2 linked regions of the Macaca mulatta genome follow. The protein of the gene in region 2 interacts with the protein of the main gene of each other region in a biochemical or structural test. Links are inferred from orthologs where the notes say so. Each region holds a gene or a part of one and is shown on either strand. Other genes may lie near its edges.

Region 1 (4,109 bases), on a different chromosome or scaffold from region 2:
GGGAACAATTCACTCCTGGGAGTAGAAGTAGAGGAAAGGAGGAGTAACTCACCAGTCTACAGTTTTGAGGTATGCCTGCCCCTGAAAGGGCAAAGCTAGAAGGGCTTGAGTCAGAAACATCAGTAGGAAACACCGGGACTCAGAGAATGACCCAGATGCAGGGCAATTCTGCCCTGCCCACCCGGAACTCCTCAGTGGTGATACCACACTCATGACAAGGGTGGGACAAGTATTACTCCTATTTTACAGATGAAAAGACTGAGCTACTGCCTAAGATCACAAACAGGGCAGAGAGAAAGCCAAGCTAGAACGCAGGTGTGGCGGCCCGGCTCCCATTTCCATCCTCATTTGCACTAACCAAATGACTCCCCTCCCCCAACCCCACCCCAGATCTAGCCTGATTTAAAAGTTACAAGGTCAGTTCCTCCATTCCCTGGACATGTCACTTCCCAGGACCCACTGTCCTAACAGGCTAATGCGACATCATCTCAGGTTCCCTCTGCACTACTGTGGCTTGGTTCCCTGAAGACACCTCCAAGCTCAAAATGGTGCTATCACAACCCTTCCAGTGCCAGTATATGATTATTTTAGGATTATCATAAATAATATAGGAAATTAGAAGAAGAAAAAAGAAAGGAAGCAGTGGCAAAGGATAGGGAGGAAGCAGCTCCAGGAAACTTTTAAGCCTGACAAATACTGTCATAGACAAAAACTGTTACAAATACAGTCACTCACCCAGAAGAAACTTCTGGGCTTAGGGGAAAAATACTGGCACAGTACAAAGGTTGGAAAAACCTTTAGTGCCAGAACCACATAACCAAAAATTAACTATGGTTGTCACTAGCAGTTCTAAAATACAAGCCGAAGTAAAATAGGCAAGGGGTAGGGAAAAAAGGGAAAATAAAGAAAAGGGAAATCAAAGAGTAGAATAAAAGGGAGACATGGCCAGGTGCGGTGGCTCACACCTGTAATCCCAACACTTTGGGAGGCCGAGGCTGGTGGATCACCTGAGACCAGGAGTTCAAGACCATCCCGACCAACATGGTGAAACCCCGTCTCTAGTAAACACAAAAAAATTAGCCGGGCGTGATGGTGCATGCCTGTAATCCCAGCTACTCCGGAGGCTGAGGCAGGAGAATTGCTTAAACCTGGAAGGCGGAGGTTGCCGGTGAGCCAAGATGGCGCCATCGCACTCCAGCCTGGGCAAAAAAAAAAAAGGAGGCGGGGGAGACATGAATGAAGAAGCTAGTAGGCAAGTAAGTTTAAAGGTAAGACAGAGAGTAGATTCTGAAGCAGTATCCCAAACAGATCTTGTGCTACAGGGTGCCTGAGATGCTGGATCCAAAAATGGAAAAAGGAAAAGCAAGTCGAGAGGGTTTGGTTCCATTCCCAGGTTCCACCCCTAACTCTATTGTCAACCTGGAAGTCATTTCCCCTCTTGGACCTGTTTCCTTATCAGTAAAATACAAAGAGGACGAGATATGCCTCGGGTCCAATCTCCCCCAAGGGTTTATGTTGTGATAAGGTACAAATGAGCAGTCAATTCATCTAAGGGCAGGGAATCTACAGACACCAGTACTGATTGTAATCATTCATTTATTTAACACTTTCTAAAAAAAGAACCTTGGGGGTGAGGGGAGACTCATGTAGAACACATACTGGCACAACTACCCACACAAGGACACGCACACTCAAGAATCAGACAGATAAACACACAGGTGATGCCACAGGTTGACTAACGCACAAACCAACCGACGACACGCTCAGACCCACACAAACACATCTAGAGACAGAGGCATGCCCTAGCAAGTGAGCCTCATTGTTCCTCAGGAAAGGGAGTTTACAAAGGAAACAAAAACTCTCATACACAGCCAGTGGGAGGGCAGAGCTCTGGCTCTGATGAGAATCAAGGCAACCAACAGATACACTCTCCCCCTGGGAAGAGTCAACAACACGTATTAAGGACTCCTGAGGTAGTTATTCCAGAAAGGAACTTCGCTGGAACCTCTGCTGCGCTTAGAGAAATTTCAGGTTTCTATTGCATTTCCTCTTTAGACTGTGCACCCAGACATTTTCCCAGAGCAATGGCCGCAATCCAAAGATTCAGAAGAGCCAGAGACTCCTTCAGCAAAAGCTAGGGAAAGAGACTTCCACCCTAGACCACTGCCATTCGATTTTCTCCGAGGACCCTTAAGGAGCCAAGGCTCCCGGTTGCGCAGCGGGGTTCGTGGGTGCGCGTTGGAGGGGCAGGCTAGCCCTTCCCAGGGGCGTGTGGAGCGCGCGCTGGGTAGATGAGTGTGGAAGGGTCTTTGGCCTGACGGCCCTCTGCAGTGAGGACGAGGAGTGTACCTCTGGTGTGTGCAGCGTGAGGGGTACGGTCACAGCTCACCAGTGTGGGGGAGGGGAGCCAGCCACTCACCCAGCTGTGAGAGTGGTGAAAGAGGGACCAGCCAGGGGTGGAAAAGAGAATTAGGAGAGCGAGGTAGGAAGGTTTCTGAGCTCCTCCCCTCCCGCGGGCTAAGGGCGTGGGGAGAGGCTTCCTCCAACCTCCGACCCGACCGGCCGATTCCTCCCGAAACTCCGGGAACTTACACAACAGGATCGCCAATATGAAGAGGTGCAACAGTTTCCTGTCGGCTTGCGCCTTTGTCCCCATCGCGATCAGGCTTCCGGTACAACAGCCGCCGACGGGCTCCTGGGAACAGACACAGCTCCGCAGACTTCAGCGCTGGGACTGAGAGCCAGCCGCCAGGTGGAGCCCCGCCTGGCCCCGCCCTCCGCGGCTTATTGGCCAGCTCCCCACCCCGGCGCGTTCCGATTGGAGTAAGGAACCGCCGCTCTTCAGAGCGAGTCACCTCCGCCAGGTGTTACCCTGCCGCCACTCCCCGCCTCGGCGCACTGCGCCTTTCCCCACCTGAGCTGCCTCTGATTGGCCCAGGAGACTGTCGCGTCAGGAGACGAATGCCGCACCTTCAGCAGGTGACGGCCCCCTGATTAGTTGGTGTTCCTGAAGTAGGGACTTCCTGACTGACTGGGTTCTCAGTAGGAGCTGGAGGGCTGAGAAGTACCTCTAAGGAGGAAGTAGGGAAGGCATTCGTGGTGTGGGATTTATGGAGACGGGCTTGGTTTGTGATTTTGCGTTTGTTTGAATGTAAGTTGCTTGGTGCAACTGCACCTGCAGTTTGGTGCTGCAGAAACTTTGGGCCTGCCTCTTGGCAAGTGAAAACCACATATTAACATGGGAGGGCGGGGGAGAAGACCGGGAGAGAAATGGAATGTTACCTTGACACCATCTCCAAACTGTTCCTCTGTCCACCCCACCGGCAGCATTCACAGGCTTTGAGAGATGAGCTGCGCTGGGAGGAAGAAAGGGAAAAAACAAGGGAAAGGGAGCACTCAATTGGAAAATGGGAGCCTGGTCAGTATAGTCCCAGCTACTTGGGAGGCGGAGGTGGGAGGATGACTTGAGCCCGGAGGCGGTAGTTGCAGTGAGCCTAGATCGCGCCATTGAACTACAGCCTGGGCGATAGAGCCAGACCTTGTCTCAAAAAACAAACAACAACAAAAAATTTTTTAAACCCACAATAATACGATTTGAGAAAAGCGGAATGACGTTATCTCAAGAAGAAAGTTAAACAGATGTACACAAAACACACCCAGATGATACAAACTGAGCTGAACAGGCTCTATAAACATCTTTGGGTGACTGTGGATATGTCCTTTACACATATTTGATCTGTGAACAGGTCCCTACATTTCAGAATTATTTGTTTTCTCACTGTGACTAATAGTTGTGTGCTGACTAAGCCGCCTTTTTTCTATAGACGATGTTGATACTCAAACTTTCTGTTAATATTTATATTGTTACATCTTTTTTTTTTTTTTTTTTTTTTTTTTTTTTTTTTTTTGAGACGGAGTCTCGCTCTGTCACCCAGGCTGGAGTGCAGTGGCCAGATCTCAGCTCACTGCAAGCTCCGCCTCCCGGGTTCACGCCATTCTCCTGCTTCAGCCTCCCGAGTAGCTGGGACTACAGGCGCCCGCCACCTCGCCCGCCTAGTTTTTTGTATTTTTTAGTAGAGACGGGGTTTCACCGTGTTAACCAGGATGGT
Region 2 (4,241 bases):
CAGCACATGCGAACATCTTCAAGGGCTTTCTGTTCAAATTCAGAGGTGAACAAATTCTAAGTTAAAAATGTATGCTGTCAAGGTCCCTGCAAGAAAATCTCAAGCTAATTTCAATTTCCAGATCAATATATACTAAGGCAATTTACTGGAGAAACCTTCAACCTTTACTCAGGTTGAGGAACACTATTATTACATTATTTAACAATAAGGCTAGCTTGAATTCATTATTTCACGTAATGGCATTTTATAATTGGCACATATTTGAATTGGTTTCAAATATGAATGAGATTTCACAGTTCATAGTAGTTAAGGTAGCCACAGAGTACCTATCACCTCAAAATTAGCTTGCTGCCCCTCTTTATGCAGCTCTGAAACAGCCAGAAAAGATGAATTTTCTTCTCCCAGGGGTGTTTCCTGAAAATATTCTATCAATTACAAATCAGCGGAATACTGACTGTGTTAATGTGATTCTGACCATTTCTTTTTGATATCCAAAGAGATCACATCATCGCCCTTCCAGACCTTAAGGAATCAGAACTGGTTACCAAAACTGATTCAGTGATGGCTATTTTCCATCTTCACAATATAATTAACATTTTAATCTCACATTTTCCAATTATGACTTTGTTAGTTCGTTTACATCAGCTATAACTAAGATGCAACAAACGTAATTCACCCACACATACGGTCATTTGGAGGCTCTTGGGAAACACCTAATTTATCTTCACTGGGTGCTGCTAAGAATGAGGAAACCAAGGAGATTTTTGATACATTTTTCTCTCTAGAACTGTGCTATTCACATGTGGCTACTAGGCACCTGAAACGTGGCTGGTCCAACTGGGAAACTGAATTTTGAATTTTATTTAATTTTAATTAATTAAAATTTAAATTTAGAAAAACGTACTTGATTCAGTTATTGGAAAACTTTTATGTATATTGGGTATGTATATTGGGTAACTTGGGTATGTGAATCTACTTTTGTAAATGCACATTTTATGAAACCTAAATACAGATTAAGTATTTCTGATTTTTATCAGAAATGTAGCTTAGTGTCAGAATTGAGATGTGCTGTTAGTGTAAAATACACATTGGGATTTCAAAGACTTAGCATAAAAGATGTAAAATACTTCATTAATATTTTTTCATACTGATTACATGTTTAAGTGTTAAGTTTGGATCTACAGGGTTAAATAAAATATTTTAGTAAAATTAATTGCACCTGTATGTTTTTATTAAATGTGGCTACTAGAAAATTTTAAATTACAAATGTGGCTCATAATATATCTTTTGGACAGTGCTGTTCTAGAACACTTCACAACCACTTTAACAGGACACATTTGGATACTTTCCTTTTAACAGTCTGGCTGGTCATGTAACAATAGGGCAAGGAGTAACATGTCCTCATATCAATTGGGTCTGAGTAAAGTGTGTAGCAAGCTCTACCCACAATTTCACCATGTGAGGCAACACTGTAATACCTCAATATGGAAAGAAAAGGAAACAAATTAGCACTCAAATTGAAATCGTGTACTGCAGACAACTTAAAAGAGATAGGGCCAACTGCTCTAAGGTCTTGGTTTCATTTCCCAACTGTGGACCTTAAAATAGACAATAAAGCACCGCTTCCAAAAAAAAAAAAAAAAAAAAGAGGTAAGATATTTCAATGGTAGCTCTAGCGATCCTTATTAAGCAAAAATTTGCTCTTAAATCTTATCTCCTCAACTTCTAAAGCCACAGAATACACGCTGTGTTAGGAAATCAACTTCAGATTGCCAGCATTTCCTTCACAAGCAAATTAGCAGGATTGTGCACTTGGAATACTGTTTGACAAGAATGAAAAGGAAACTATTCAAAATAGATTTAAGGAATGGACAATTAGATGAGGAACTGCAGATTTAATTCTCAATCAGCACTGTGATTAATCTGATTCCCTGCTTTTCCCCAGCGTAATTATACAACACAGATGAAAGGATGAGCATTTGGACTGTCAGTTCTATATTCTAGACCAGCCCGGTGACTCAAAGCAGACGGCTCTACCACGCTAACCACCATCCCAACAACAGTCGAGGGGAGCCTCGAGCACTGATTGAACAGTCATTGCATAACGAAGCATTAAAAATTCGAATGCCCCCAACTCTTTCCACGTTCATGTACACCAGGAGGGAATGTGCTGAAACTGAACGCACCCGGTCTTAAATGATCCCCTCCAATCCGGGCATGGGGTGTACACAAAGGCATCTGTCTAATATCCCGCACAATAGACACACACCCCACAATTAAAACCCTGGACTCACTCTCTCTCTCACCACACAAGCAAAGGAAATGCAAGCTGCTCTTTTCAAAAATGGTCTATGGCACATGCAAGGTAACAAAAACCCCAACTGAAGCAACTATAAAATCGGCTGTGCCACGTCCCTGTGCAACCGTCAGATAAAATGCAGGCAGCCGGCCCCACGCCTTACGGGGTGGCCAGCCTCGGCTCGGTGGCCTCAATGGACCGCTGAGAACCCCCAGGCCCCCGCCTGGCAGGAGCTCCAGGTACACGTCTATAAATACTCCAAGATGAGAAGGACGAGAGGGGAAGAGGGGAAGAGGGGAAGGAGAGAGGGCAGGGGGCAGGCCCGGAGCGGGTGCGGGAAGACCGGGGCATCACTGAAATGCATTTTTCCACACTCCCGCTCCCTCGCGTGGAGACTCACTTTCCGATCACCTCGCACAGCTCGTACACATCCTCGAACAGCACGTCGTCGTCGGCCATGGTCCGGAGGGGATAGCGGCCGCAGCGTGGAGGGCTTCGAAAACGGGGGTGGGGGCGCCCAAGAGCTCAGTGCCCAGCCCCGGGATCGCCTCCTCCCCTCAGGACCCGCGAGCCCTCGGTGCCGAGGACGCTCGAGTGGTGCCGCGAGGCCCAGAGACTGCGGCGCCTTCCTCTGCAGGCGACCGCCCCGGCGCGGGCGGCGGGGCCGGGGCGTGGGAGCGAGGGCGGCCCGGGCCCGGCGCCGCCCGCCCGCCCGCTGCTCCTCGCGCTGCTCGGGCCGCGCTGCCCGGCGTGCGGATCCTCGGGGACCGCGCGGCGTCGCGCTCTCCGCTCGTCAGCCCGCGCGGGCCGCGAGGCCGCGACCGCTCCCTCTGTCCGAGGCCGGCTCCGTCGCGTCGCGGAGCAGCTCGGGCTATAGAGGGGGCCGCGGCAGGACCATGGAGGGAGGATCGCCGCGGAGGGAGGTGGCGGCGGCGGATCGGCGCTGGGGACCAGGAGGCGGTGGCAGAGACGCTCCCTCCTACTTCTCCTCCTCCCGCAGCCGCCACCGCCCGCCCGGGAGTGGGAGGGGGCTTCGCGGGACTGGCGCTCTGTGCGGGCGGGAGCCGCGGCCGCCGCCTTCTGCTCCGCCCCTCCGCCTCAGCAGCCGACCGGCTAGCCAGCCCCGCGCACCCGCCTCGCGCAGACACGCCCTCCTCCCCCGTCGGCGGCGCGGCTTCCAGAACCACAGACTCCGCCCACTCTAGCCCGTCGGGAGGCGGTGGCCCAGGGAAAGGGGAGCGGGCTGAGCGGCGCATGCGCGCGGCGCGGGCCGCGTCACGGCAAACGGGCGGGCACCGGGATTCTAGAGGGCGCGGGGGGTTGAGCGGGGCGCGCCGGCTGCAGCTGCCGAGGCGGGGCTGGTTGGGGTCGTCGCCTCCGCGCCTAGCGGCGACCAAGCCGCGAAAGGGGCTGGAGACAAAAGGTCCACGGCTGTACGCTCGTTGTCCCGCAAGAGGCTCGAAACTCTGGCCGCTCCCCTTTCCTTCTTTTGTAATCGCAGGGAGCCTTTCCCAGCTTTTTGCTGGGAAAAGAGGCAGGGATAGGGTGCTAATGAATGAGAAAGCTAAAAGAGAGGTGGAGAGAGGTTGTCACTGAATCCGTGCTTGGCAGCGGATGCTTTTAGTGCTACCCTGTCATTCCTTAATGAAGATGAGGGCTGGGGGCAAGGGGAGGTCGTCCGAGAAAAGGACTAAACAAAAACTGCCTAGGAAGGTGTGCGACAGCAAACGGTCATCTATAGAGACAGCTTCTCCCACGTTCTGCCCCAAACTCAACAAATACCTATCCAGCGCCTACCCTCACTAGAGACCAACCTAGAGAGAAGCCAGGAAGACAGGGACAAACCGCGACTTTAAGCTCCTTTGTATATTGCCCTCAAACTCCCAGCACCTACACTGCTCTGTATACTCCCTATACATGTTAGACTTGTCAGGAACAAAAT

Evidence for each region.
Region 1: the proteins of CASK (region 2) and F11R form a complex in vitro, tested with the Homo sapiens proteins (2 studies listed by BioGRID and IntAct, with this or other methods). The link is inferred for Macaca mulatta from reciprocal best matches to the Homo sapiens genes CASK and F11R.

Annotation. Positions count from the first base shown.
Region 1 is NC_133406.1:105,860,905-105,865,013, reverse strand, and holds the start of F11R (junctional adhesion molecule A precursor), read right to left. Parts: upstream 2,801-4,109; 5' UTR 2,657-2,800; coding exon 2,593-2,656; intron 1-2,592. UniProt on the Homo sapiens protein: Seems to play a role in epithelial tight junction formation. Appears early in primordial forms of cell junctions and recruits PARD3.
Region 2 is NC_133426.1:41,839,209-41,843,449, forward strand, and holds the start of CASK (peripheral plasma membrane protein CASK), read right to left. Parts: upstream 2,801-4,241; 5' UTR 2,759-2,800; coding exon 2,700-2,758; intron 1-2,699. UniProt on the Homo sapiens protein: Multidomain scaffolding Mg(2+)-independent protein kinase that catalyzes the phosphotransfer from ATP to proteins such as NRXN1, and plays a role in synaptic transmembrane protein anchoring and ion channel trafficking.